4 linked regions of the Callithrix jacchus genome follow. The protein of the gene in region 4 interacts with the protein of the main gene of each other region in a biochemical or structural test. Links are inferred from orthologs where the notes say so. Each region holds a gene or a part of one and is shown on either strand. Other genes may lie near its edges.

Evidence for each region.
Region 1: the proteins of CDC27 (region 4) and PTTG1 form a complex in vitro, tested with the Homo sapiens proteins (3 studies listed by BioGRID). The link is inferred for Callithrix jacchus from reciprocal best matches to the Homo sapiens genes CDC27 and PTTG1.
Region 2: the proteins of CDC27 (region 4) and MDC1 form a complex in vitro, tested with the Homo sapiens proteins (2 studies listed by BioGRID). The link is inferred for Callithrix jacchus from reciprocal best matches to the Homo sapiens genes CDC27 and MDC1.
Region 3: the proteins of CDC27 (region 4) and ANAPC4 form a complex in vitro, tested with the Homo sapiens proteins (2 studies listed by BioGRID). The link is inferred for Callithrix jacchus from reciprocal best matches to the Homo sapiens genes CDC27 and ANAPC4.

The regions. Positions count from the first base shown.
Region 1 is NC_133503.1:23,231,802-23,239,464, reverse strand, and holds the start of PTTG1 (securin), read right to left. Parts: upstream 4,870-7,663; 5' UTR 4,573-4,869; intron 4,423-4,572; 5' UTR 4,412-4,422; coding exon 4,321-4,411; intron 4,019-4,320; coding exon 3,834-4,018; intron 2,413-3,833; coding exon 2,319-2,412; intron 1-2,318. UniProt on the Homo sapiens protein: Regulatory protein, which plays a central role in chromosome stability, in the p53/TP53 pathway, and DNA repair. Probably acts by blocking the action of key proteins.
Region 2 is NC_133505.1:35,493,822-35,500,972, reverse strand, and holds the end of MDC1 (mediator of DNA damage checkpoint protein 1), read left to right. Parts: coding exon 1-1,323; intron 1,324-1,406; coding exon 1,407-1,526; intron 1,527-1,653; coding exon 1,654-1,836; intron 1,837-2,062; coding exon 2,063-2,188; intron 2,189-2,277; coding exon 2,278-2,388; intron 2,389-3,965; coding exon 3,966-4,133; 3' UTR 4,134-4,781; downstream 4,782-7,151. UniProt on the Homo sapiens protein: Histone reader protein required for checkpoint-mediated cell cycle arrest in response to DNA damage within both the S phase and G2/M phases of the cell cycle.
Region 3 is NC_133504.1:168,461,249-168,468,799, reverse strand, and holds the start of ANAPC4 (anaphase-promoting complex subunit 4), read left to right. Parts: upstream 1-3,062; 5' UTR 3,063-3,174; intron 3,175-3,247; 5' UTR 3,248-3,257; coding exon 3,258-3,386; intron 3,387-6,187; coding exon 6,188-6,293; intron 6,294-7,551. UniProt on the Homo sapiens protein: Component of the anaphase promoting complex/cyclosome (APC/C), a cell cycle-regulated E3 ubiquitin ligase that controls progression through mitosis and the G1 phase of the cell cycle.
Region 4 is NC_133506.1:86,997,725-87,004,674, forward strand, and holds part of CDC27 (cell division cycle protein 27 homolog), read right to left. Parts: intron 4,475-6,950; coding exon 4,400-4,474; intron 2,817-4,399; coding exon 2,660-2,816; intron 1,108-2,659; coding exon 1,025-1,107; 3' UTR 1-1,024. UniProt on the Homo sapiens protein: Component of the anaphase promoting complex/cyclosome (APC/C), a cell cycle-regulated E3 ubiquitin ligase that controls progression through mitosis and the G1 phase of the cell cycle.

The sequences.
Region 1 (7,663 bases), on a different chromosome or scaffold from region 4:
TAACTGAGATTACAGGCCCAGCTTTTTTTTTTTTTTTTTTTTTTTTAGTAGAGACAGGGTCTCACCACGTTGGCCAGGCTGGTCTTGAACTCCTAACCTCAGGTGATCTGCCCACCTTGCCTCCCAAAGTGCTGGCATTACAGGTGTGAGCCACTACGTCAGGCCAAAAAAGGAATCTCAGAAAACTTATCTGCAGTAATTAGCTTGACAGGTGCCTTAGACTTTTCTGATGAGATCAGTTGTGATATTAATGCTTTTAATATTGTATAATAAAGCACTTCAACGTGGGGTATCTACATATCTCAGTGAATCAATATTTCTGAATGATCAATGCAAGATAGATGTGAGAATAAGAGATACATTCCAAGTGCAAAATAGACTAATGGATTTTACTGTCAAAATACAAACTTAATTTCAAAATACAAAATGCTCATTGATAGGGTTTTGGATTCCCCATTGCAATTACATATTCAGAAACAGCCACTTGTGAGTTTTAGTGTAGTGGCAAAGAAAACTATCCACATTTACCTGAAAAGACTCTTAAAAACATATCTGTGTGAGGCCAGGTTTTCTTTGTATATTTCAACCAAAACAGATGTAAGATTGTATACAGAATTTGACAAGAAGCCAGTTGTCTTGTATTAAGACAAATAAAGCAAATTTTCAAAAATATAAACCATGCCATTCTTCTCAAAACTTTTCCAAAACAAAAAACATTTTATATTAAAAAATGTATATTAATGTAATGTGATTTAGCAAATAAATATCTTAAGTTTCTCAGTTTTAATTTCTAATACAGAAAAGAACAGATCACATAAGCAAAAGTGGTCTTTAATAATTTCTAAGAGTGTCAAACCAAAAATAAATTGAGAACCACTGTGTTAGGTAACATTCCTTCTTAAAATCCAAGTACCTTACTTCTTAGCAACTTTTTTTTTCCGAGATGGAGTCTTGCTCTGTCACCCAGGCTGGAGTGTAGTGGCATGATCTTGGCTCACTGCAACCTCCACCTCCCAGGTTCAAGCAATTCTCCTGCCTCAGCTCCCAAGTAGCTGGGATTACAGGCACCTGCGACCGCACCTAGCTAATTTTTGTATTTTTAGTAGAGAGGAGGTTTCACCATGTTGGCCAGGCTGGTCTCAAACTCCTGACCTCAAGTGACAACCCCCACCCCCACCCCTGCCCCCTGGCCTCCCAAAGTGCTGGGATAACAGGCATGAGTCACTGTATCTTAGCAAATATTTAAAACAAGCAATTGTTTTGTACAGTAACAAAAGTATAATTTAATACTGAATTTTCTTTTCAAGGAGATTAAGTGTTTTCTCAAAAGATTAGAAAATCATAGCTCTCCTCATCTTTGTCCTTAGGTGTGAAAGTTCTCTAAAGCCTAAGTACTCAAGAATTAAGTTTGCTCTGGGCTGGCACAGTGGCCCATGCCTGTAATCCCAGCACTCTGGTGGTGGGGAGGGGTGAAGCCCCATCTTTACTAAAAATATAAAAATTAGCCAGGCGTGGTGGCGGGTGCCTGTAATCCCAGCTACTAGGGAAGTTGAGGCAGAGAATTGCTTGTACCAGGAGGTGGAGGTTGCAGTGAGCCGAGATTGTGCTACTGCACACCAGGCTGGGCAACAGAGCAAGACTCCCATCTCAAAAAAAAAAAAAAAAATAGTCTGCTCTTTTTCAAGCCTGGTTAAACCCAGAAGTCAAAAAGGAAGTGAATGATATGTGACTACTTAACTTAAAACCACTGAATTGTAAAGGAAACTATAAACAGGCAAAAAACTCCAGAGGAAAGAAGTCTGCATTATACATAAGGGAAGCTAATTTTATCTACAAAGAGCTCTTTAATCAAAGAAAAAAACAAACAGGAAGTTAACAAAAAAAAAAGCAAAACTGAAATCTGAAAAACATGTCTTCACTGTTTTATGTAGAATTTTCTAACCAAAGAAATAATCCTACCAAAGTACTCTCAGGCGCTGCTCAACTTGACATAAAGCTCGCTTTCTAAAAACCTTGTGAGAAAGACTGTACACAGTAAATCACTCAATGTTCATGAATAGATCTTACTTCCTCTGGGTGATAAGCTTTTACAGAGAGAAACAATGTCTTCTACATCTTTGCTCCTATTCCCCTCCTGACCTAAGACAATACCTTGCAAGTAATTCCATCAACAGGTACACTTGTCCAAAGCAACCCAGATTCAGACAGTCTCATTATAGTTTTTGGTCATACATTATATTCCTATCAAGTTACAGCTGATCTGAATACTAAGAAACTAAAGGCCAAAAGCAAGTTTCCGCAATTGCAAAAGATACTACCTAGAGGATTGAAGGGAAAAAATTTTTCTATTTCTGGATAGGCATCATCTGAGGCAGGAACAGAGCTTTTTGCTTTAACAGTCTTCCCAGTCATCTAGAGCAACCAAAGAAAATGAGTTAGTGAGAGGAAGTATTATCAGCTATTTAGTTTTTAAATTTGTCAATTTCATGCTGCCTTCTAAGAAGATAATCCTTAGTTTTCCTATTCACACCTAAATATACTTCAATAGGATTTAAATGTAATTCGAGTAGCATGACTTAAAATTTAAATCTGAAATTTAAGTATCAGCCCCTGTCAGCATAAGTTATCAAGAATGCAGAGTTAATTCAGAGCTAATCAACACAATTATTCAACCTAACAGAAGAGCAAATGGGCATGAATCACCCAGGTCAGTAGCTAATCATCAAAACCATTTTTGGCTTATGGGAGTATGATTTTTTCCGTGTTACCTTAATTATTTGCATGGTTAATATTAAAAACAAGTTTGTGTTCCTCAAATAAACACACTGAGTAAGAGGCAGCAAGACACTGTCAAGACTTTATAAAAACACCATGGACAAGGAGCTGACAGGTCTACTACAATCTACTACAGGAGCGTGCCACAGTGGAAGCCTGCAGGTTCCTGATTTATCTCACCTCACATATGCATGCCTAGAACTCCCTGTGGGGTTCTTACACTTCGGTACTGTTCTTATTGCTTTTCCCGTATCTTTGCAATTCCTGTATTTAATATTTTTAATTCACTTTTAAGGAATACCTCCTAAGTTGCACTACATGTAATTCACTGGTTGTTTCCTAATGCAATTTTTTAAAAAAAAAAAAAAAAAAAACTTTTTTCTGTGTCACTTGTGCTGGAAAGAAAAAGTGTTTCAGGCTGGGCGCGGTGGCTCACGCCTATAATCCCAGCACTTTGGGAGGCCAAGGCGGGTGGATCACCTGAGGTCAGGAGATGGAGACCAGCCTGATCAATATGGTGAAACCGTCTCTTTAAAATATATATAATTTAAAAAAAGAAAAAGTGTTTCAAATAAAGTGTCAATCCACATGCTAACTTCATCTTTCACAGCAAAGTCCTCTGGGTCTGGGATACACAGGCCTGTAGCTTGTGACCCACACTCACAAAAATCAACATGCTAGCAAACTGTCATCTAACAAGCTGCTGCTTGCTCTGGAAGGCTAGGAGAATGGCAGCACCTGTGCTATTATAGCAGCAACAGAACCTCCTAAACTACCCTCTTCTCTCAATATGTATCTGTAAGTAGATAACAACCAATCTGTTTCAAGACACTAGTTAAAAACAGGTGAGGCAAAAATATGCATTAGATGCACGTGAGATTTCCTACGTCAAAGTACCGAGAAGCCACAAGGACAATGAGTCTCCTCCACTACTGTTTGCTAACCTCTACTTCCCTTCTACTCAGAGGGAAAAAAGCTAGGTAGGATGACGCCAAGGGTCATTTTAAGAGTCAAAAGTGCTTAAGTGTTTAAACAGTGTCTTTATAGCCAACACTCACCTTTTTGGCAGAAAAGCTTGGTTGTTTTTGATTGAGGAGTCCACTGGTCTTCACTGACTTTTCTGTAGCTCTGTTGACAGTTCCCAAAGCCTTTCTAGTAGCTTTAGGTAAGGCTGGTGGAGCATCATACGTTTTGCCAAAACGTGGTGTTGAAACTTGAGATCTCCCCTTTAAGGCTTTGACTGCTGAAGAAAAAGTCTTACCGTAAGAATACTCCAGCAGCAAAATACCTGTGCAACTTGAATACTGTGTATATAAACTTAACTCTCACCCCCAAACCCAAGCCCCATTCTTGGTAGTGGCATGACTATAATACACCTAATAGCGGAGATTCAGTACTCTTAAATCATCTCATTAAGATATTGAAAATGAAAAAGTACCGATAACAAACTTGACTGATTGCCCACAAAGTACACTAAATTGTCTCGTCCAGCTCCAGGCCACGTCCACAATATGAGTGTATCTGACTGCAGCCCTGTATACTTACAAGGTCCAGACCCCAGCTTCAGCCCATCCTTAGCAGCCACACGGGTGCCTGTTTCTCCATTTTCCTTATCAACATAGATCAAAGTAGCCATTCTGGATTATTCTAAAAATGAGAAATACATATTAGATATTGGGGAAGGTGCGAGAAGCTAAGGTACAGCAACAGTCCAGACTTTCTATCCCAGGGATGTTCACACAAAAACGAGAGCTAAACAGAGGGGCAATACAATGACGGGCTTCAGCCAACAAGTACTTCATCCAGCTCTTAAATCTTCCAGCCAGAGTCAGAGGTTCTAAGGTCCTGAGGAAGCAGGCTGTTTGGAGCTGGCACTCAGAGAATTGCCGCGAGTCCAGTTCTCAGTCAGAGACCGCGCTCATAGGGGCTCGGAGCCAGCTGCGCCCCGAGCAGTGCCCAAGCCCCAGCCCCAGCTCCAGCCCCAGCCCCAGCCCCAGCCCACCTCCTTCGCCGCCCGAACCGGTTCGCCCTACCAACCCGCGAACCTCCCGTTCACTCACAACGCTCTCAACAGCCACCTTCCTCTGACATCACAGGGAACGGACGCCGCGCACTCCCGGTTTAAACCACAACTCGCGGCCCAATTGGCTCTTCCGCCCAGGAGGCGGGGATGGGGGCGTGGTCACCAGGCAGAACCAATGGAGAGACCTAAGCAGCCAGGGCTCCTCCCCGAAAGCTTTTTTCTGCAAACTTCGTGGCACGTTTTCGGTGGGGGCGGGGCAAACTAGGATCGTGTACTATTTGAAAAAACTTGGGTGGCTTTGTTTTGCTCTCCATATTATTAAGCTTCATGGGCTGAGGTACTGGCTCAATAACAATGTTTTGTTGCTTTAAGATATTTTTATTTAAATGGCACTGTAGAAAGGATGGAAAATAAATAGAAATACTTTTGGAGATGGGGGAATAACCAGTGTTGGGTCTAAAGAATACTAGCAGAGAAGAATTTAAAATTAAGAAGAAATGTAAGTACAGAGAGATCAAACAGCAGCGTTTGAGTCATTCTGTTATGCTTATGAATAAGAACAAACTGATCATTCCCTAATCTTAGGACTATCCTCAATACTTCAGGCTAAGATGCTGTTTCTATTATACCATCACAAATCTGTCTTAGGAACAAAATGATGATTCTAATGAATACATAATTTAGTCTTCCCTTAAAATCCTATCATTTAATAGTGATTTATTTTAAACCTCTAACATCTCAAGAATATATTCCAAAGCTGCCTGGAAGGGCTTGGCCAGGGAGCAAGAGAACATCAGAAAGATAATAAAGGTATAAAAAAGGAATTCCAGTTTCCCAGATATGAAAATAAATTTTGCTTGCAAAAGTTGATGACCTTTTCCTGTTTCTATAGTAAATTGGAATATATTGAACAACTACAAGATAAAGGTACAAATTCAAAAAATCAAAGCTGACCTGTGTCATTCAAACTCTGCTTCCCACAGGTCACCATATATACATTTTAACCTGCAGATCAGCTGGGAGAGAGGAGTTGATTCCATATTACTCTTTCACAAAAGGTTTAACACTATACCTGACATAGACATGGTTCTCAATATATGCCAGTTCATCACCTCTTCTTCCCTGGCATTTCAGGACCAAAATTGATTGAATGATTCCTTCATTCACAAATATTTATTCAATACCTATTAAATGCTGGACATTATACTAGGTATCAAGATGAAAAGAGCCTAACCTAAGTGAAGAAAAGAGGAAAGACAGAAAAATATGCATACCTTTATTGTCTCTTCACTGTCTTCTTTATCCCCATCCCTTATTTCCTCCTGTAGCTCCTAAATTTTGCATCATCATATTATATTATCAGCACTCAAAGCGTTAAGTTTTTGAGACTAAATCTGTACAACACCTATAGCTTCCAAGTGGAGATTCTCTATAAAGGTTTTGGGGTGCAAGGTTTATCTCCTTAAGGTGTCTTCTATTTTCACAGCAGAAACCATTGTTTCTCCCAAGGTCATGCAACAGCTGTAAACTATAACCACCCTCTCTTTGACTAACGGCTATTTTCTTAGTAATGATGCCCCCAGACCAGCTTTGCTATTTCTATTACTGGAGATACTCATTTGCTAACCCACCCTCGCTCATAACAGCACTTAGTCCCTAATCAGTTTCTCCTAATCCTGCTTTACAAACAGCAACCCATCCAGAACCAATTCCCGCTTTCCTAGACCTTCCTTAGAACCCTCCAGAGGGACCTCAAGTCTTAGACTAAGATTGAACTCTCTTGTCCTGAGCATTCTGATTCCTCTTCAAGATGTGCTCTCCTGATGGTTTTGGCTAATTAGGCCTTAACACTCCTAAGCAAATTTCAGGAATGTTTTTAAGTGGAAAAAAGCAAAACCTGAGTGATTCATTGACTCTACTGCCTTATGTTCTCACAGCACCTGGTATTCCTTTCATAGCAACTTTTTACAACTCCTAAATTATCTGAATAGTTGTTTCGGTGTCTTTCACGCTCTGATGTAAATATGAGGAAAGACACTATGTTCACCAAAGCTCCAGCATGCTACTCTGACTCTATTTCTTCATCTACTGCTCTGTAAATGCAAAATTAACATTTGTTTTTTTTTTGAAGCAAAATCTTGCTCTGTGCTGAGCTGGAGTGCAATCTCTGCCTCCCAGGTTCAAGTGATTCTCCTGCCTCGGCCTCCCAGTAGCTGGGATTACAGGCGCACACCACCACATACAGCTAATTTTTGTATGTTTAGTAGATATGGAGTTTCACCCTGCTGGCCACGATGGTCTGGATCTCCTGATCTCATGATCCGCCCACCTCGGCCTCCCAAAGTGCTGGGATTACAGGCGTGAGCCACCGCGCCTGGCCTGCAAATTCTTAGTACAAAAAAATAGATTCTATTATGTTGAGTTATTTTATTGAGGCAGGGATTGCAGCTATTTTAACTTTTATATTCAAAAAGGACACACGTTATGGAGGGGAGAGGCAGAGAACAACTAGAATAGATAGCACAAATTTTAAAAATAACAAGAAATTCTACCACCAAAATTAGTTCATATTCCAGTATTTTATTTCCCATGTATACTTTTAAAGGAGGGATGGGATAGCATAGATACTGTTTCTCCAAAATGGAAATCGTCTTATGTTTTTCTAATGATAACATGCCTTATGTTCTCACAACACCCGGCATTCCTTTCACAGCAACGTTTTACAACTGCTAATTATCTGAATAGTTGTTTTGGTGTCTTTCGCACTCTGACGTAAATTTGAAGAAAGACACTGTTCACCAAACCCCCAGCATGTTACACAGCCTGGCTACTAATGAGTACCAATTTTAACTTTTTTTTTTTATA
Region 2 (7,151 bases), on a different chromosome or scaffold from region 4:
GAGCTCCAGGCTTCTGCCTCCACAGACCAGCCTGTCACCCCTGAGCCCACATTTCAGGCTACTAGGGGAAGAAAAAATAGGTCCTCTGTCAAGACCCCTGAAACAGTTGTCCCCATAGCCTCTGAGCTCCAGGCTTCTGCCTCCACAGACCAGCCTGTCACCCCTGAGCCCACATCTCAGGCTACTAGGGGAAGAAAAAATAGGCCCTCTGTCAAGACCCCTGAAACAGTTGTCCCCATAGCCTCTGAGCTCCAGGCTTCTGCCTCCACAGACCAGCCTGTCACCCCTGAGCCCACATCTCGGACCACTAGGGGCAGGACAAACAGGTCCTCTGTCAAGACCCCTGAATCAGTCGTACCCACAGCCCCTGAGCTCCAGGTTTCTGCCTCCACAGTTCAACCTGTAACCCCTGAGCCTACATCTCAGACCACTAGGGGCAGGACAAATAGGTCCTCTGTCAAGACCCCTGAATCAGTTGTCCCTATAGCCCCTGAGCTCCAGCCTTCGACCTCCAGAAACCAGCTTGTCACCCCTGAGCCCACATCTAGGGCCACTAGGGGCAGGACAGATGGGTCTTCTGTCAGGACCCCTGAACCAGTTGTCCCCACAGCCCCTGAGCCCCTTCCTACAACCTCCATAGACCAGCCTGTCACACCTAAGCCCACATCTAGAGCCACTAGAGGAAGAGTAAATAGGTCCTCTGTCAAGACTCCCAAACCAGTTGAACCAGCAGCCTCTAATCTTGAGCCTCTTATCCCCACAGACCTGCCTGTCACCCCTGAGGCCATAGCTCAGGGTAGTCAGAGCAAAACACTGAGGTCTTCTATAGTAAGTGCTGTGTCCGTTCCTACCACCCTTGAATTCCAGTCCCCTGTTACCACAGATCAGCCTATTTCCCCTGAGCCTATTCCTCAAGCTAGTTGCAGCAAGAGGCAGAGAGTCATTGGGAATCCTGGCTCCCTCAAAACTCCCATTGACCATAAGCCTTGCTCTGCACCCCTGGAAACTAAATCCCAGGCCTCAAGGAACCAAAGATGGGGAGCAGTTAGAGAAGCTGAATCCCTTACAGCCATTCCTGAGCCTGCCTCTTTCCAGCTTCTTGAGACACCAACTCATGCCTCCCAGATCCAAAAGGTGGAAGCAGTAGGTAGATCTAGGTTTACCTCAGAGCCCCAGCCTAAGGTCTCTCAAAGCCGCAAGAGGGCTTTTGCTACCACGGATTCACCACCACTTCAAAAACAGCCCCGAAGAGAAGTCTCCCAGAAGACAGTGTTTCTCAAGGAAGAGTTAGAAGATACTACAGAGAAGCCAGGGAAAGAAGAGGTGAGGAGAAGGCTGGGACCACAAAGCTGGGAAAAAGGGCTTCAGGGCTCTGAAACTCCCACTAAGATTTTTCTCTATCTCAGGATGTCATGACTCCAAAACCAGGCAAGAAAAAGAGAGACCAGGCAGAGGAGGAGCCCAATAGCATACAGAGCCGCAGCCTCCGACGGACCAAATTTACCCGGGAATCAACAGCCCCCAAAGTAAGAGACAAGGGCATGAGACTTTGTGGGAGACAGAGATGAGGGGAGGATACAAGGAGACCTCGGGGACTGTAGAGATGCTGATGGCATAGGTTGCTGTGACCACCTCAGGCCAACCCTTCCACAGGTGCTCTTCACAGGAGTGGTGGATGCCCAGGGAGAGCGGGCCGTGCTGGCACTGGGGGGAAGTCTGGCTGATTCAGCGGCAGAGGCTTCCCACCTGGTCACTGATCGAATCCGCCGGACAGTCAAGTTCCTGTGTGCCCTGGGGCGGGGAATCCCCATTCTCTCCCTGGACTGGCTGCATCAGGTGAGAGGCCAAGAGATGATGACAGACCAATATAGTGACAAGACTGCTCATGTAGCACCCTAGAAAATGGTAGGGAGGAAGAGGAGTTACAGGAAGACAGAGACATTAGTGAGGCAGGAGCCTGAATTTATTTAAAAGATATTTTGTGAGCTCTCTATAAATGCTAGGCAGCAGAGCTGGGTGAGGGGCTGGGCTGAGTTTTGATGCTGACTGCTGCCATCCTTAGTCCCGCAAGGCTGGTTGCTTCTTACCCCCGGATGAATATGTGGTGACTGATCCTGAGCAAGAGAAGAACTTTGGCTTTAGCCTTCAAGATGCTCTGAGCCGGGCTCGGGAGCGAAGGCTGCTGGAGGTGAGAGGCTATCTTTTGATTGGTGCTTCAACCCTCCCTCCAGTGCTTCCCAACATACATCTACTGCCTCCACCATTTCTTTCTCTTAGGGCTATGAGATCCATGTGACCCCTGGAGTCCAGCCACCACCACCTCAGATGGGAGAGATCATCAGCTGCTGTGGAGGCACTGTCCTACCCAGCATGCCTCGGTCCTATAAGGTATAGTTAGGATGCTCTGGGTCTGGGTGAGGTGGCAGTGGCAGTTAAAGAGGTGGCTGGAATGGCAACGGTTGGGGGGGGAAATGGAGGTACAGAAAGGAATATAGAGTAGAGAGAGGGTGGGGGAAAAACCTATGGTATAGAAAGGGATAGGAATGAGGAGAGAGATCTGCTGATACCCCTAACAATCATCAATCAGCAGCTTAGTTTAGATTACATTACATTTGCTCCATCTATCTCTTTTTTCCTTTGATTTTCTTTGCCGAAGTATTTTCTTTTTTTTATTCTTTCTTTTTTTCCTTTTTTTTGCTGAAGTATTTTAAAGCAAACTGCCAATATTATATTATTTCTTCCTACATACTTAAGTATACATATTTAAGAAATGTGTACATTTTATTTCATAATCACAGTGACATTATTGATCCAAAACAAAATTAACAATAGTTTATTGATTATTTGCTCACACTCCATTAATAAAATGTCTCCCGGCCAGGCGCGGTGGCTCACGCCTGTAATCCCAGCACTTTGGGAGGCCGAGGCCGGTGGATCACCAGGTCAAGAGATCGAGACCATCCTGGTCAACATGGTGAAACGCCGTCTCTACTAAAAATACAAAAAATTAGCTGGGCATGGTGGCGCGTGCCTGTAATCCCAGCTACTCAGGAGGCTGAGGCAGGAGAATTGCCTGAACCTAGGAGGCGGAGGTTTCGGTGAGCCGAGATTGCGCCATTGCACTCCAGCCTGGGTAACAAAAGTGAAATTCCATCTCAAAAAAAAAATAATAATAAAATAAAATAAATAAAATGTCTCCTGTTGTCTGAAAAATGTCTCTATACAGTTGTTCAAATCAGGATTCGAATAAGGTCCACATACTGCCACATCTATTACCCTCTGAATTCTCTTTACTCTAGAGCATTCCTTAACTCACCCAGCCTTTATTATACCATCAATTTCCTGCAGAAACTGGGTCACTTTTCCTTTAGAATGTTCCTCAGTATGGATTTTTGAGTTTGCCTCCTTGTTGTATCTTGTTCCTCTGTGTTCCATATTCCTGGAAATTGTAGATAATTGTAAAAGCTTGAATAAATTGATTTCATCTTTCTAGCAAGAGTATTTCTTTCTTTTTTTTTTTTTTTTTTTGAGACTGAGTCTCGCTTTGTTGCCAGGCTGGAGTACAGTGGTGCTATCTCTGCTCACTGCAACCTTCCCCTCCTGGATTCAAGCGATTCTCCTGCCTCAGCCCCCAGAGTAGCTGTGACTACAAGCATGCGCCACCACACCCAGCTAATTTTTGTATTTTTAGTAGAGACGGGGTTTCGCCATGTTGGCCAGGATGGTCTCCATCTCTTGACCTCATGATCCACTCACCTCGACCTCCCAAAGTGCTGGGATTACAGGCATGAGCCACCATGCCCAACCTCTAGCAAGAATATTTTATAGACAGTTTGCAGTATGCTTCACGTGGCTTCATATTAGGAGGTACTATTTTAGTGATACTAAGACTGGTTAGTGGGTCCAGAACCCATTTTTAGGATTCTTTTTCACCCCTAATTTTGTTTTTGCTCTGTCTTCCCCAGCCTCAGAGAGTTGTGATCACATGCTCCCAGGACTTCCCTCGATGCTCTGTTCCACGACGGGTTGGGCTGCCCCTCCTCTCACCTGAGTTCCTGCTGACTGGAGTGCTGAAGCAGGAAGCCAAGCCAGAGGCCTTTGTCCTTTCCCCTTTGGAGATGTCATCCACCTGAGACCTCCACTACCCTTTTACCTCCATTAAATAAAATATTAGAAGATATTTGGAAGAAAGAACTTAGGACGTTAGAAAGGATTGGGGTATATTGATATGACTTGTCCTGGAACATAGGGTGGGACCAGAAATATTTATGAATAAATGAAAAGATAAGGCAATTGGGACCACAGAGTTTTTGTTTTTTTTTTTAATGGCCATTTTATTTTATCTCTACTTGTATGTTTTTATTTGTATAGATTTAGGGGCTACAAGAGCAGATTTCTTGCATGCATTTATTAAATGGCCATTTTAAAATGAGCTTGTTTCATGCTCAGATGTCTTAAGTGGCAGCTATCTTTAGCCAGACTGTTATTGCTTGTTGGTACTCACGGTGTCCTACCTCCTATTTGGAAACCATCTCTATTGTTTTCTTACTGGGATTCTTACTTTGGGGTCAGGAACTTGAAGGGATGCTTAGAGTGAGTAGATATGAAAGTCCAGTTATAGAGTGCTACTCAAACATTTTTCTCTCTCTCAGTCTCTGGGAGGATCTTTAGCTTTGACTTTGGGCAAGCCTCTGTACTTTTCTGGCCTGCTTTTCCAGAACTTATAAAATTAGACCTTAGGCTTGACCTCTGTGATAAATAAATATTCACTCTGTGCCTTATGTTGTAGTGCAGTTTTTAAAAATGTCTAGGTCTCAAGACAAAGTCAGGGACTTATATTTAATTCATCATTATCTTCTATTTAGGGCAAATTATATAGCATTTCTTAAATTTTTTTTTCTTGAGACAGGGACTTAACTCTGTCACTCAGGCTGGAGTGCAGTGGTGCTGTCTCAGCTCAGTGCAACATCCACCTCCTGGGTTCAAGCAATACTCCCACCTCAGCCTTCCAAGTAGCTTGGACTACAGGCACCCACCACCATGCGCAGCTAATTTTTAATATTTTCTCTTTTTTTTTGTATTGTTTGGTAGAGACGGGATTTCACCAGATTGGCCAGGCTGGTCTCGAACTCCTGACCTCAAATGATCCACCCACCTCAGCCTTCCAAAGTGCTGGGATTACAGTAGAGCCAACATGCCCAGCCAAATTGGGATGTGGAGAAATTAGAATCCTTACACATTGCTGGTAGGAATGTAAAATGGTTTGGCCTCTATGGTAAACGATCTGATGGTTCGTCAAAAAGTTAAACATCTGGCCAGGCACAGTGGCTTACACGTGTAATCCCAGCACTTTGGGAGGCCAAGGTGGGCGGATCACTTGAACTCAGGAGTTCAAGACCAGCCTGGGCAACATGGCAAAACCTTCTCTACCAAAAATACAAAAATTGGCCTGGCATGGTGGCACATGTCTGTGGTCGCAGCTACTTGGGAGGCTGAGAGGAAAATCGTTTGAGCCCAGGAGGTCAAGACTGCAGTGAGCTGAGATTGAGCCACTGCACTTCAGCCTGGGCAGGAGAGTGAGACCTTGTCTCAATAAAAAAAAAAATCCTGGTTGTGGTGACTCATGCCTGTAATCCCAGAACTGTGAGAGGCCAAGATGGACAGATCACCTGAGGTCAGGAGTCCGAGACCAGCCTGGCCAATGTGGTGAAACCCATCTCTACTAAAACTACAAAAATTAGCTGGGTGTAGTGGCATGTGCCTGCAATCCCAGCTATTTGGGTGGCTGAGGCAGGAAAATCTCCGGAACCTGGAAGGTGGAGCTTGCAATGAGCCAAGATTTCGCCACTGCACTCCAGCCTGGGTGACAGAGCAAGACTCAGTCTCAAAAAAAAAAAAAAAAAAGCCTCTTTTCTGGCTGGAACCATTTAGGGTGTTGTAGAGAAGAAAAAGAAGGTTCCTACTAGGCCAGAATTTAAAATGCAAAGGAATTTCGCAGAGCCAAAGATCAATGGCCTGAGAAAGAAATTTGCCCAAAAGATGCTTCAAAAAGCAAGATCGCTTATCTATGAAAAAGCAAAGCACTATCACAAGGAATATAGGCAAATGGACAGAACTGAAATTCACGTGGCAAGGATGGCTAGAAAAGCTGGCAACTTCTATGTACCTGCAAAACCCAAAGTGATGTTTGTCATCAGGATCAGAGGTATCGATGCTGAGCCCAAAGGTCTGAAAGCTGTTGTAGCTTCTTTGCCTTTGTCAAATCTTCAGTGGAACCTTTGTGAAGCTTAACAAGGCTTCAGTTAACATGCTGAGGATTGCAGAACGATATATTGCATGGAGGTACCCAAATCTGAAGTCAGTAAATGAACTAATCTACCAGTGTGGTTATGGCAAAATCAGTAAGAAGCAAATTGCTTTGACAGATAACACCTTGATTGCTCAATCTCTTGGTAAATATGGCATCACCTGCATGGAAGATCTGATTCATGCGATCTATACTGTAGGAAAATGCTTCAAAGAAGCAAATAACTTCTTGTGATCCTTCAGATTATCCTTTCCACAAGGTGGAATGAAGAAAAAGACCACCCATTTTGTAGAAAGTGGAGATGCTGGCAACAGGGAGGACCAGATCAACAGGCTTATTAGAATAATGAACTAAGTGGTCTACCATGATTGTTTTTCTAATTAGTCATTTAAATAATACCTGCTCTTAGCCAAGCATGGTGGCTCATGCCTGTAATCCCAGCACTGGGAGGCTGAGGTGGGTGGATCACCTGAGGTCAGGAGTTCGAAACCAACTTGACCAACATGGAGAAACCCTGTCTCTACTAAAAATATTTAAAAAATTAGCCGGGCCTGGTGGTGCATGCTTGCAATCCCAGCTACTTGGAAGACTGAGGCAGAATAATTGCTTGAACCTGGGATGCAGAGGTTGCAGTGAACCGAGATCAAGCCATTGCACTCCAGCCTGGACAACAAGAGCGAAACTCCATCTCAAAAAAAATAAATAAATAAAACAGTACCTGCTCTCTACTTGGAGGGAAAAAAAAGTTAAACATGAAATTACCAAATTATCCAGCAATTCTGCTCTAGGTGAATACCCAAAAGAATTTAAAACAGGTGTCCAGGCTGGGTGTGATGCCTCATGC
Region 3 (7,551 bases), on a different chromosome or scaffold from region 4:
TGTGGGCATTTGTATTCAGGTAAGTTCCAGGAAAATGGACATTCAATTTCCATAAGAATGTAAAGTGCATAGATACTGGACACCCACCAGCTGATCCGTTATAACTGCCCCAAAACAACACCTGAAAATGCATTTTGAAAAACAAAGGCAAGTGCGTTTTCACCTTAGAAATGTTGATTCTGGAAGAGTTGGGGGGACATGCTAAGTTGTTTGTGGCAAAGGCAAGGGTTGCAAAGCCCCTGAGAGGAAGTCAAGGATTAAGAACAGTGCCTGGCACAAATTAGTTACTTGACACTGAATGAATTAATCTCCCTCCATCATCTACTTCCCAGGGGCTAGATCCAGTCAGAGGTCAAGAAGAGGGGGCTTGTTAGAAGTTAAAGGTCCTGCAGTGTAGGGCTGAGGGCCCCACAGGGTCGTGGTGTGTCCCTTATGCTGTGCTGAGGTGCAGGATCCAACAAACAAAGAGACAGGACACAGAAGTACAAGGAAAATGGAGCTGGGCTCAGGGGGGCCCTAATGTCCAGAAGTGTCAGTATTTATTGTGTATAGGTTAGGAGGCAGGGCAGTGAGTGAAGTCATCTTCAAAGATAGTGATAGGATTGTGAGCAATAAAACAAGGGGTCCATCCTCATTAGGTCACCTAGGCTATGAGGTGGACAGTGTGCAGCAAGATGTCCACCCCCATTAGATCACTGAGGCATGGAGGTGGGCTGTGCGCAGTGAAGAGGGTGCAGTGTGCACTACCTCTACCTACGGGCAAGCTACTTCTAAGATTTGTGGGAGGATGCTTTAAGTCACACAGCAGTGACAGAGCTGTCAGGGTTACCGCCACCTGTTGGCAGCTTCCAATGAGTTCTATAGGAAGACGCTTTTTGGGCAGCACAGTAACAAGAGCTAATAAAGTTCACAGTCACCAAGGTACAATTATCCGTAGGGGTTTTGAGCCCTTGAATGGATGCTAGAGGGATTGCCGGTCTGAGGGCAGCCTTCCACAAGAAGACGCGAGGTCCTACAACTCCTTTATCAGGAGGAGTGGCTCTTGCCCCAAGCCTGCCATACAGTGGGTATCTTAATGATACTGAACACTGCCCCCTGGGCCATGGATTCTTGTCCTGGTATAACTGTTTTTCCCTTAAATCATGCTCGGCACTGTCTGCTCCAGACATTCCTCTGACTATAAGCTGCTTATTCCTTAATTCATGCTCTGTACCGTGTCTACTCCAGGCATTCCTCCAATTATGAACTAAGATATAGTTATATATATATATATAAATGAGTGGTGAGATATTCTTTAGGCACTCATTCTATGAACAAATATATGATTATATAGAGAGAATTATATAAAGAAATAACTGAGTAGTAACACTATAAACTGAGATATTCTTCAGATCTTAATTGTGCCAGGATTTTGCTTAGTTCTCCTTCCTTGGTGCCTATGTGGGGGGTTATCCACACTGAGGCCTCTTTCTCCATTGAACAAGTGAAAGGTAGTGAAAAGTAGATGGCTTTCTACCATAGGTCTGTGGGAAGTAGAAAAGTTCCCTTTTAAAGTTTCCTTGCTTATTAAAGAGTAAGTGTGCTAATAACTCTTTGTTAAGCCCTATCCTATGTAGTTGTTAGACATGCCATGCTTATAGGCAGGTAGTATATTCTATGTTCTTGTATTTCAACCAAGATATCTGTGCTGAACCAGGCATATCCCAGCTCTCCATTGCTTTTACCTATTTAGAAAAGTTTTAAGTTGTTACCCAATCGGGTTTTAATTTAGATTGTGAGGTCTGGCTCCAGCTAATGAAGATCAGACACAGCAGTAAGGATGACCCCAAATGCATAAGGGATAAATTTGTGTGTTTTCCTTTGTTCATTGTATTCTTGTGGCATGAGCTTCCTGCAGACCAGGAAGTAAAAATTGCATTGCTGAAAAATCCTTTGTCTCAGTGCTAAGTTTTCTTTGCAGCACCGAACATCTATTTCCAACAGATTTTAAGAACCCTAGAATGACACTGTCACATTCTCTCAGGGAGGTCATAGCTGTGGGAACTGTGAACATGCTGACTCATTTAAATGTGTCCTACATAAATCAACATCAGATGAGTTCTGATTTACAAGACTGCCAGGCAGGCCTGTGAGCCTTCTGGCAAAACCCGTCCCATGCATTTGTGTAGCCCCAGTTCTTCCACATAGTAAATGCCCAAGAAGCTACAGAAGAAATCGTGTGTGAGCCCACAGTCCTCATTCCTTATGATGGGGCTGCAATTACCAATAAGTTGTGAGCGTTAAATGGGATGAGGAGTCACAGTATTATTTGCTTGTTAGGGAGGTTTGAGGGCAGGCCCCTCTTCCCTCTTCAAATTGGAATCACCCAAAGAGTTTTAGTAAATACTGGGCCCATCCAGAGTTAATTCTCTTTTAATTGGTTTGGGGTGCTGCTTGGACAGGTGAACTTTTAAAATTCTATACTGAGCCACCAGGACTGACATGAGAACTATTTGTTTGGAGTCTGTCAGAGGAGGCTCCAGCTGATCAGAACCTTAAAGTTCATATTCTTTTTCATTTCCCCATTGTCGCTGAAGCCTTCCCCCTACACCCCTACCGTCCCTTCGAACACAGCAGCGAATTTTTGGTAAAACTGGAAAGTTATGCAAGCGTGCCTACACGCGTGCACACATGCGTTACCAAAAAATCCGCGTGCAGCTTTCCACGTCCCAGCGCCCAGCGCTCCCACCTGCAGCTGGGTCCACTGCTCTGCTTCTCCCTCTCTGCTCCACTCGGGGCGCCGTGCCCCACCCACGTGCCCCACCCTCCCTCACGTCCCGCCCCTCGCCATTCCCTTCCCCGCCCACGTGCCCCACCCTCCCCCTCGCTCCGCCCCTCGCTGCTCCGTGTCCCTCCCAGGGGCACCATTCTACCCCCACCTCGCTCCTCCCCTCGCTGCTCCCTTGCCCCGCCCACGCGCCTTGTCTCGGTCCGCCCGGTCTGGATCTCAGCCTCGCCAGGCCCTTTGCCCGGCCCGCCCCGCCTTCTCCTCTCGCGAGGCACTCCCGGGGCCGGAAGTGCTTGGAGCGCGCGACAGCGGCAGGGCGGGGCGGTCTGGAGGCTGCGGCGCGCCGCCGGCAGAGGGAGGCGAGAGGCCGCTGGGGCCGTGTTGGTCGCCGGTGGGGACTCTTGCAGGTACCGCCCTGGTCGGGGCTTCTCGCGGAGGGCCAGGAGCTCCTGCCGGCCTCTGACTGGGGTGTCGTTGCAGGGCCGTCCCCATGTTGCGTTTTCCGACCTGTTTCCCGTCCTTCCGGGTGGTGGGAGAGAAGCAGCTCCCGCAGGAGATTATTTTCCTGGTCTGGTCTCCCAAGCGGGATCTCATTGCTTTGGCCAACACAGCGGGCGAGGTAAGTGAGCCGGTGGAACCCGCCTGGGCTGGGTCTGCCCGCTGGGGGCCCAAAAACACCGAGCCTGTTCATTCGGGCCACAGGCGGCCGGAGCCTCAGTTTCCCCTTCTGCAGACGCGGCGGGCCACCTGCTACCCCTTCCCTGCCTCCCAGGACGGCAGTAAACTTTAAGTAATATATGCGAAAGGTGGTGTCTTTGCCATTTTCAGTACTTTTATGGCTAACGTAACAGTTTTCACACAGCTTAACACCGTCAGGCAATTCTGCATCCCCAAGTCTTCTTCACTCATCGCTTTATTAGTTAAATGAACTTTTTAAAAAGCCCACGATGTGCCACCCATTAGCTAGACATAGTGGTAAATTCAGGGCCTGCCCTAAGTTTACTTACAGTTTTAATAGCAGAAGGAAGTAATTCTCGAACTTTAGCTGCAAGACTGTATGCATGTAGCTGACCCAGAATATATATTTAAGAATCTGTAGTCTCTTGTCCACGTTTTATACTACGGGTTGGATGCTAACTTCCACTAAAAACCTTTAAATTGGACAAGGAAGAGATGCATCATTGGATTCCAGACAGAACGTGCATGGGTTTTGTCAGCATTTCTAGTTCACATTAAACTTCATCGAGTTTGTTGTACCAACACCTGTTGTACCCAACTTTCTGCTGAGAATTATTACTTGCCAGCCATTTTGTAAGGAAACCTTCACCTGTGCATCTTTCGGCCTCTGGCTTGAGCATTATCTGGCCAGGTGAGAGTTGTGTAGAGTTAAGTTTGGAAACTAAGTGGTAAGGAAATCTTAGCACCCTGTGGACTACAGCATCATGTTATCTACCATGACCCAGTAGCCAGGGTATTGATGTCTAATTTTTCAGGGCCCTCCATGAAATCTAGTCTCCCTCCTCTGCCGGGATGCTTTGAAACTCTGTCGTGGCTCTAGAGAACAACAGGTGGTACAGCCACAGGAGCAGGAGGAAAGGTAGAAAGGAGGTACATCTGTGCGATCAGAAGGGTAGGCATGATAGTGGGCACTGTTACATCCATTTCTCAGTGAAGGAAGAGGCAAGGGAATTTTCTGTGGGTGAAGATGGAGAAGAAAATATTGCAAGCTTGAGGAGAAAGAAGAGGTCTGAAAAAGCTAACAAGGCAGGTGGACTTGGGAAACCTAAATAGGATTCAGTCAGTGTTAAGAGCACCACAAGATCAGTGTTCTTATTTGAGAGACACTGGTTGAATGAGGTTGTGTCTCCGTTCTGTTTGGCTGTGTGGGTGCAGGTACAGTTGGGTTTAACCAGGATTGTTGTTTAGCAAGAGAAAGATGAAAGAGTTGAAGTTATGTGCAAGGGTAGTGATTTTGTTGATGAACTTTGGGTTCTAACGTGGTTAAGGAGGTAAGTGAGGGCAGGTGTAGGGAGAGGAACAGTGACTAGGGGGTAGAATCAATAGACTGTATATTCTGGTGAGGTCAAAGAATTGGAGTTGAGTGTTGCAGAGATGAGCTGAAAGAGGGGTGGTGGATGGAAGGTGGGAAGGAAATTTGAAATGGAGATTTTGGTGGCCCTGCAGTTGTTGGTAATGACCAGGCTAGGGGTGTGACCCTGGGAGTGGCTAAGTGCAGTAGAAGATGTGATCACTGGAGGTGAGGTAGTTGACAGCTGAAAAGCCAGGACATATAGCTCTTGAAATCACCAAAAATGAGGATGAGTGTGCTGTTAGAAAGCATGAGCGAGCCAGGTGTGCAAATCTTCAAGGAATGAGGGGAATGGCCTAGGGGTCTGTAGAGGACTGCAATCAAGGGGAGAGTGGGTGGTATGGTCTGACTGCATGTGATTCAAAGTTAGGAGGTTTTCAAGAAGAGAAGAAATGGCATTGAGCATCAAGGAAGACACCTGCTTCATCTCCTAGCCCAAGAGGAGCAGTACAGGGTCCGTGGGATACAAAATGGTCACCACCTAGGAAGGCTGCAGGGAAGCCATGTCCTCTGGTGAGAGGCACATTTCCGATAAAAGTATGAAGATTTTAATTTCATGATGCCATCTGACCATGAGCTGCAGAAAGCACAGAGGAAGGGTTTCAGAAGTAAGGAATGGCAGGAATGGTTTCAGAAAAGAGAGGGTCAAGTTGGAGAGATGATGTTACCATGAGTGAAGGGTGCTGTGAGGTAAGGCAGGGCATGGTGGTAAAGCTGAGTGTGGAGTCGATGGAGATCGAGAGGGGTCTTCTAGGAGCACGTGCAGTTGTGAGGCCTTTTCTTCCTTACTGTCAATGGTTGTATAGAAGCTGCAACAGGATCAGTCTTAGAGCTCTTGGGCAACATTTTGACCTTCCAAGGTGGGAATTTACTGTTGTGGAAATGGAGATTTAGAATGGTTAAGTGATTTGTCTAAGATCCATGGCTAGTGTGTGACACAACTGAAATCAGATGCCACGTGGTCTAATTCCAAGCTTAGTATTATTTGAGTATATTACAGCTAGTTACCTTTTTAGTGATGTTTGTGTTCTTTTATTTCTTTTTTGGTTGTCATCTTGGACAGCCTTCCTTCTAAAAGGTAAGTCTCCCGTTGACATAAAAGATGGGAAGATGTATTAGGTACTGGGTGAAATTAGACCTTGTTTCACCCATTTATTTTAAAATACCTTGTGTTCTTGCAGACACTGTTGTCTTTTTCTGTTTTTCTGATAGCTAACTATACTTGAGAGATAGTAATTTTAAAAAAGGTTTTAGTAGGGATCGAGGTGTATTTTATTTTTGGAAATTGATTTTTTTTTTTATTTCCTGCCGTTATATCTGCTTTGTCTTAGGTGTTACTTCATCGACTTGCAAGTTTTCATCGAGTTTGGAGTTTTCCACCAAATGAAAATACAGGAAAGGAAGTGACCTGTCTGGCATGGAGACCAGATGGCAAACGTAATGATAATATTACAAAAATATGTTTTTATTTTCACAAAAAGTATTCTGTAAAGAAAGTCCATTTTCAGGAAGAATTTATTGTTCTTAGTATACATTTTAATTATAAATACCAGTTAGGGGCCTTTTTTTTTTAAAAACATGCCTTAAAATATTTTTATAGAACTCAGATTAATTCTGCTATCTTGTTTCTTGGCAAAGATAACTCTGAGGTGAAATCTGATGGAATGTACAAAATATTTTGGTTTTGTTCTTTCCGCTGTCATCTTGGCCTGTGTTTGGCCCAGGCAGCACCTGCCACTCTCCAGTCAGGCAGTTCAAGGCCATCATGGCCTTTCTCTTTCACAATGGATTTTAGCACGAAATGTGTGGCTCATATTCCCTTGGTGCATATATGTTTGCCTCCCCAGGGGGACTATGAGCTTTGACTCCATACCTTCCATTTCTATGTGATCTTTCTTCTGGTCCCATCCTATGTTATAGGCTTTTATGGCTCTGGTGACAGAATCGTCCTCTTCCATGTGATATTTTTACAATGACCATCCTTATTGGAACTGTTGGACACATATAATCAAAGTGAAGAAAAATGCTGTAAATCCTACAGCTTAAAGTTCATCTGTGTCGTGGGTATTTTAAGAAAAAAGTGACTTGTTTTTGTAAAATATGTGTTCTTTGCTTAATTTTTCTGTAGATAAAGTACTTAAACATTTTATTGACGCTTTAAGAAAAATGAATTGTTTTTGTAAAATATTTGCTCCTCGTTGCTTTTTTTTTTTTTTTTTTTTTTGAGACAGGGTCTCACTCTGTTGCCCAGGCTGGAGTGCAGTGCAGTGCAGTGGTGTGAAGTCCGTTCACTGCAACCTCTGCCTTCCGGGTTCAAGCAGTAACTGCGACTACAGGCGTGCACCATCATACCTGGTTAATTTTTGTATTTTTTGGTAGAGACAGGGTTTCACTGTTTTGGCCCGGTTAGTCTCGAACTCCTGGCCTCGATTCGCCTACCTACTAGAGTATGGGGATTACAGGTGTGAACCTCTGCACCTGGCCCTCATTACTTAAAAATTCCCTGAAAGCAAATCACTTAGAGATGACAATTGTTTCTGTTTTGGTGAACATCTTTTACAACATTTCCTGATAAAGTATATACTTGTAGAGACCTATATGTAGTTTTATTAGAAAAAAGGTCATTTGGTACATGCCATTTTGTTGCTTAGCTTTTTCTTCCCCCTCCCCTTTTTCCCATGTCAGTGTGGATAGA
Region 4 (6,950 bases):
AAATGATCTCACCCAAGGGTAACCACACATTCTTCACTCTGCTTAAACACTCCGAAAAGTCAAAGGGATAATGTCTTGAACAAATAAAGATTCAAGGTTATGGTACAATTCTGATTATATTAAGGCTTTCACTATCAGGATCTCTTAAAAGTCTCTCCACTTTAGTGTTCTTACTCTGATTGATATGGTGAACTTAAGTGGTTGTTAAGGGCCTTGTTTTGGCTACTCAGTGGGAAACCACTCTATCATCTCTGAATGTTAAAGGTGATCCCACAGAGCTCAAAGAGAAGAGGCAATATGGTAAGAACCAATTTTAAAGTTTGCAATACCAAGACAACAATGATCAACACTTTGAAGCAAGATGAATAAAATCCTCAGTCAGACATTAAAGCATTCTTGCCAAGAATAGGTGTACACTGTATGGAGGGATATTTGATTCCTACATACGAGTCCCAATATGCCCATTACATTTGTTTATAGGAGACACTGCAAGTTTAAGGTAATTTACATTCCTTGGCAATCAAGTTACTGTTATAGGCAATGTCTTTTATTGTTCCATCTGGCACTTGCAAACACCATTCTTGAAGAACCTATAAATGAAGGTCAGTTACTCTGTTTATCAGGAACAGGACCAAATAAAAACAAATTTTTGAAAAAGCAACCAAGAAATTCTGGTCCGTCACTATTTTCCATATCTAATGGTTCCTTCAAGATAAAACATAACTCTTCCTTCCATGATAGCTTTCAAACGAAGGGAGATTAAAGAAAAACAAAAGTTCCCCACTCTACCCCCTGTAAATTGTCATTCATACTGGTAAAAGAGCCAGTCTTGTTAGCAGCTATATATTGCACTGCCTTTCATTCTGTATACAGTCAGGGTCCAATGAAAGTGGCACACTCATGGTATAAGTGATGGATCATGACTCAGAGTCGGCTCAAGAGTAAAGACTCAGTATATATGGAGGGACAAGAAACATGTCAGCACTAGTCACATATCCAGTTGTAAAAGTCTGATTTCCAGAAGTTAAAATTCATCACTTTCAGCTGCATGAAGTTGTGTGTCATCCGCATCTGTCATGCTGCTCTCCTGGGATTCATCTGTTCCCACTTTAAAAATAAAACCAAAGTCTACAGTAAGGTTTCTGACAAATATATCTTCTTGGTTCATGAAAACAAGTAAGAAAAACTGTATTATATTCAGAGAGATAAAACTCTAACTAAAGGCCCCTAAAAATCCTCATATCCTATAGTAAAACAGAATTCAAGTTCCCTAATTTTATAATAGGTCTGATACTAGTTTATTGCATTTTTACCTTTAAGGTTTTAACTACCCAAACTGCCTCTCCCTAATGAGTTCCTTATTCCTGCCCTAGGAATTACAACTAGTTAGTTCTCTGAGATACTAAAAAAAAAAATTGACATTTCCCCCAACCTCCAATCGCGGAGTCCTCTTTAAGGATACTCCATGCTAGTCCATAGAAACATAGACTATAAACTTCGGTTTCAAATAGGGAATCTCCTCCCCTCACCACCCCATATATCTGTCTTGCTCCGTCACCTAGCTAGGTTGGAGTGCAGTGGCACAATCACATCTCACTGCAGCCTCAAACTCCTGGACTCAAGTGGTATGATCCTCCTGCCTCAGCCTCTCAAGTAGCTGGGACTAGAGATGTATACTACCATACCCAGCTAATTTTTAAAATTTGTTTAGAGACAGGTTCTCACTATCTGCCCAGGGTAGTTATGAAATCCTAGGCTCAAGCAACCCTCCCACCTCTGTCTCCTGAGTAGCTGGGATTACATACACAAGCCAAAATGTTGCCTGGCTGATAATTTTTTTTTTTGAGACAGAGTTTTGCTCTTGTCACCCAGGCTGGAGTGCAACGGTGTGATTTCGGCTCATTGCAGCCTTCACCTCCTGGGTTCAAGTGATTCTCCTGCCTCAGCCTCCTAAGTAGCTGGGATTATAGGCTCCTGCCATCACGTCCAGCTAATTTATATATTTTTACTAGAGGCAGGGTTTCACCACATTGGCCAGCTGGTCTGGATCTCCTAACCTCAGGCGATCCACCCACCTTGGCCTCCCAAAGTGTTGGAATTACAGGTGTGAGCCACTGTGCCTGGCCCCATGGCTTAGAATTTTTTTTTTTTTTTTTAAGATGGGGTTTCACCATGATGGCCAGGCTGGTCTTGAACTCCTGACCTCAGGTGATCCACCCACCTCGGCCTCCCAAAGTATTAGGATTACAGGCGTGAGCCACTGCCCGGCCGGCTTATAATTTTAATTAAAGCCTTTCACCAAGTTTTCTGGAACAAAGGCATCTCATCAGAATTTATCTTATCAGAAATTTCTCTATCCTCTTCCTTAAAAAACTACATTCTTATGAAGCAGATAAAACAGTACTGGTTACATATTCAAACACAAATTGAGGGCCCAGGTAAAAATTAGCAATGAATTTGTCAAAGTCATACAGCAAACTGGATCCAGAACAGACTAATTACCTGACTCTATATGCATTTCGTTATTACATCACCCTGTTCAATTTCCCTAAATTTGGTATAATGAAAACACCATGGTTAGAAAAATAAGAGTATCCTACAAATCCTTATGCAAAAAGGTAACTTTCTAAATATTCAAAATCACATGTATGATACTTACTGATCTGCTCTTCTTGGGTTATTGGCTCCTCATCATCTGGAAGATAGCGCTTATCAATTGCCTCTTTAATCTGGTTATTGGCTCCTTTAGGATCTAAATCCATAGCCCAAGAGAAATTCATCAGGGCGAGGTGCGTTTGACCTAACTTCTTGTAAACCTAAAAATAAACAGCAGCACTACATTTTTCATTAAGTTGTGAGCTTCAACTATAAAGTTCTAAATATTTATTTATTTAATTTATTTTTTTTGAGATGGACTCTGTTGCCCAGGCTGGAATGCAGTAGGCACAATCTCGGCTCACTGAAACCTCCACCTTCCAGGTTCAAGTGATTCTCCTGCCTCAGCCTCTTGAGTAGCTGGGATTATAGGTGCCTGCCACCAAGCCCAGCTAATTTTTGCATTTTTAGTAGAGTCAGGGTTTTGTCATGTTGGCCAGGCTGGTCTCAAACCCTTGACCTCAGGTGATCCACCCACCTTGGCCTCCCAAACTGCTGGGATTACAACAGGTGTGAGCCACTGCGCCTGGCCCCTAAAATTCTAAATATTTATAATTTATATTAGGCTCCTGGTGTACGTGCTCTAAACTCATTCTAAGGGTAGAACACTTTCATCTTACAGATGAACTCATACTAGCTTTTGTTTTCCTTTTAATATAATCAGATGTTATTTTCAGAATTTCTTGCTTCTATCAGGTAATAAGTTTCCAGTAAATATCACTCTGACTGGAACAATGATAATGGGATTAAACGAATAATAAACTGCTTAATTAACTTTCATTTATGGTGATTTTAAATGGAGTTATATATATAAACTCTTAACAACTGTCTACAGGCACCTTAACTAATTGGCATCTGGGGGGGCCAGTCTGTAAAAAACTGACTAGTCTGGCCTTGGGAATCTCAGAAGCCATCTTTCCTAATCAATACAACACAGTGCCATTAATGTTCTTCTTATTTATTTATTTAGACAGAATCCTGTTCTCTCGCCCAGGCTGGAGTGCAGCAGTGCAATCTTGGCTCATGGCAATCTCTGCCTCCTGGTTCAAGTGATTCTCGTGTCTCAGCCTCCCGAGTAACTGGGATTATAGGTGAGTGCCACCATGTCCAACTAATTACATATATATATATATATTTTTTTTTTTCAGACAGAGTTTCGCTCTTGTTACCCAGGCTGGAGTGCAATGGCGTGATCTCAGCTCACCGCAACCTCTGCCTCCTGGGTTCAGGCAATTCTCCTGCCTCAACCTCCCGAGTAGCTGGGATTACAGGCACGCGCCACCATGCCCAGGTAATTTTTTGTATTTTTTAGTAGAGATGGGGTTTCACCATGTTGACCAGGATGGTCTTGATCTCTGGACCTTGTGATCCATCTGCCTCGGCCTCCCAAAGTGCTGGGATTACAGGCGTGAGCCACTGCACCCGGCCAATTTTTTATATTTTTAGTAGCAGTTGGATTTCACTATGTTGGTCAGGCTGGTCTTGAACTCCTGACCTCAGGCAATCCACCTACTTAGGCCTCCCAAAATGCTGGGATTATAGGCATGAGACACCATGCCCAGCTAGGATATAATTTTCTTAAGTGTTAAGAACTAAATCTGTTATTCCCAGAGCACTCAGTTTGGAGTTTTAGTTGAATTTGCTCAATAGATACTATACAGTAAGTATATTCATTCTTATAAAATATACAATGTCAATATTTGCTATGAAAGTCACAGTTTGGGACCATGGCCCCAGTCTTTACCTTTCCTATTAAGAAGTAAACGAGGGATTCTTTGGGAACAATTTGTTTCAATTCTTCAAGTTCTTGTAAAGCAGACTGAAAAAGGCAAAGAAAAACCTTAAAGTAGCAAAATGTTTGGAAGTTTTGACCAAGCAAGTATTTTTACTTATTCGATTTCCCAAATCATCTTCATAAAAGCTAACTAAATCTTTTTTTTTTTTTTTGAGATGGAGTTTCACTCTTGTTACCCAGGCTGGAGTGCAATGGCGTGATCTCGGCTCACCGCAATCTCCGCCTCCTGGATTCAGGCAATTCTCCTGCCTCAGCCTCCTGAGTAGCTGGGATTACAGGCACGTGCCATCATGCCCAGCTAATTTTTTGTATTTTTAGTAGAGACAGGGTTTCACCATGTTGACCAGGATGATCTCGATCTCTTGACCTCGTGATCCACCCGCCTCGGCCTCCCAAAGTGCTGGGATTACAGGTGTGAGCCACTGTGCCCGGCCTAAGCTAACTAAATCTTAACCAATATACTTCCTTATTGCATCAGTTCTTATTGTTGTGAAAATAAATGCATACTTATATGACAATAGGTACTAAGAAATGGCAGGTACTCTAGTACACTAAATGCACACACACACACACACACACCCCTTTGTGAAATACACAGATGGTGACAATTCTTGCTTTTTGATTATCTATCTACCTATATATCTATCTATCTTTCTACCTACCTACCTATCTACCTGTCAGTCAGTCTATTTTTATTTATTGAGATAGAGTCTTGCTCTGTCATCCAGGCTGGAGTGCAATGGCATAATGTCCGCTCACTGCAACCTCCGCTTCCTAGGTTCAAGCAATTCTCCTGCCTCAGTCTCCTGAGTAACTGGGATTATAGGTTTATGCCACCATACCTGCTAATTTTTGAATTTTTAGTAGAGATGGGTTTTCGCCAAGTTGGCTTGTCTCCAACTCCTGACCTCAAGTGATCAGCCTGCATCAGCCTCCCAAAGTGCTGGAATTACAGGTGTGAGCCACTGGTGCCTAGCCCGGTCATTTATTTTTTAATGAAAAATAACTATATAATTTTTCAGAACAAAAAGTCACTGAGAAGAGTGGCATTAACACTTTTGCAAGTCTGTTCATAGAAGACGGCCAGATTCTCACATCTATCTGCTTCTCCATTTAATGTTTTGATATCATGTATTATGTAAGTTTTGAAAAATTCTACTGTCCATTTGGGACAGAATGAAAAAGATAAATAATGTCAAGATACTATTGTAAAAATAGCTTTGACCTCTAGGACTCCTTGGAAGGGTTTTAGGGACTCACAGAAGTTCCCAGACCATACTTTGAGAATCATTACTTTAAAGAAATCTTTTTTTGGACTGGGTGTGGTAGCTCATGCCTGTAATCCCAGCACTCTGGGAGCTCCGAGGCAGGTGGATTATGAGGTCAGGAGTTCAAGATCAGCCTGACCAACATGGTGAAACCCGTATCTCCTAAATAAAATAAAATAAAATCCTTCAACGGAAGAAAATGACTACATATCTAAAGAGGTACAATAAAGCAAATACATAAAAACAAATACTGAATTACAATTATAGTACCTCAAAGAGTAGTTAAAAGATGAAAAGGATTTATTAGATTTAAAGTAAGCTTTAAAAAAAAAATTTTTTTTTTTTGAGACAGTGTCTTCCTCTGTTGCCCAGGCTGGAGTGCAGTGGTGTAATCTGGGCTCACAGCAACCTCCGCCTCCTGGGTTTAAGTGATTCTCATGCTTCAGCCACCCAAGTAGCTGGGATTACAGGAGTGCAACACGAAGCCCAGCTAATTTTTCTATTTTTAGTAGAGATAGGGTTTCACCATGTTGGCCAGGCTAGTCTCGAACTCCTGGCCTCAAGTGATCTGCCTGCTTCAGCCTCCCAAAGTGCTGGGATTACAGGCATGAGACACAGCACCTGGCCCTAGAAGCAGTTTTTAATTTTTTTTTGAGACAAGAGTTTCGCTTTTGTTGCCCAGGCTGGAGTGCAATGGCACAATCTCAGCTCACTGCAACCTCTGCCTCCTGGGTTCAAGCAATTCTCCTGACTCGGCCTCATGAGTAGCTGGGACTACAGGCGCACACCACCACACCCAGCTAATTTTTGTATTTTTAGTAGAGATGGGATTTCACCATATTGACCAGAATGGTCTCAATCTCTTGACCTCGTGATCTGCCTGCCTCAGCCTCCCAAAGTGATGGGATTACAGGCGTGAGCCACGGCGTCCGGCCTAGAAGCAGCTTTTTATGACTCCATTTCTTTTTTTATATTTTTTATTTTTATTTTTGAGATGAAGTATTGGTTACCCAGGCTGGAGTGCAGTGGCATGATCTTGGCTCACTGCAACCTCCACCCCTTGGGTTCAAGCAATTCTCCTGCCTCAGCCTCCTGAGTAGCTGGGACTTATAGGCACCTGCCACCATGCCCGGCTAATTTTCTGTGTTTTTAGTAGAGATGGGGTTTCACCATGTTGCCCAGGCTGGACTCAAACTCCTGACCTCAGATGATCCGCTTGCTTTGGCCTCCCA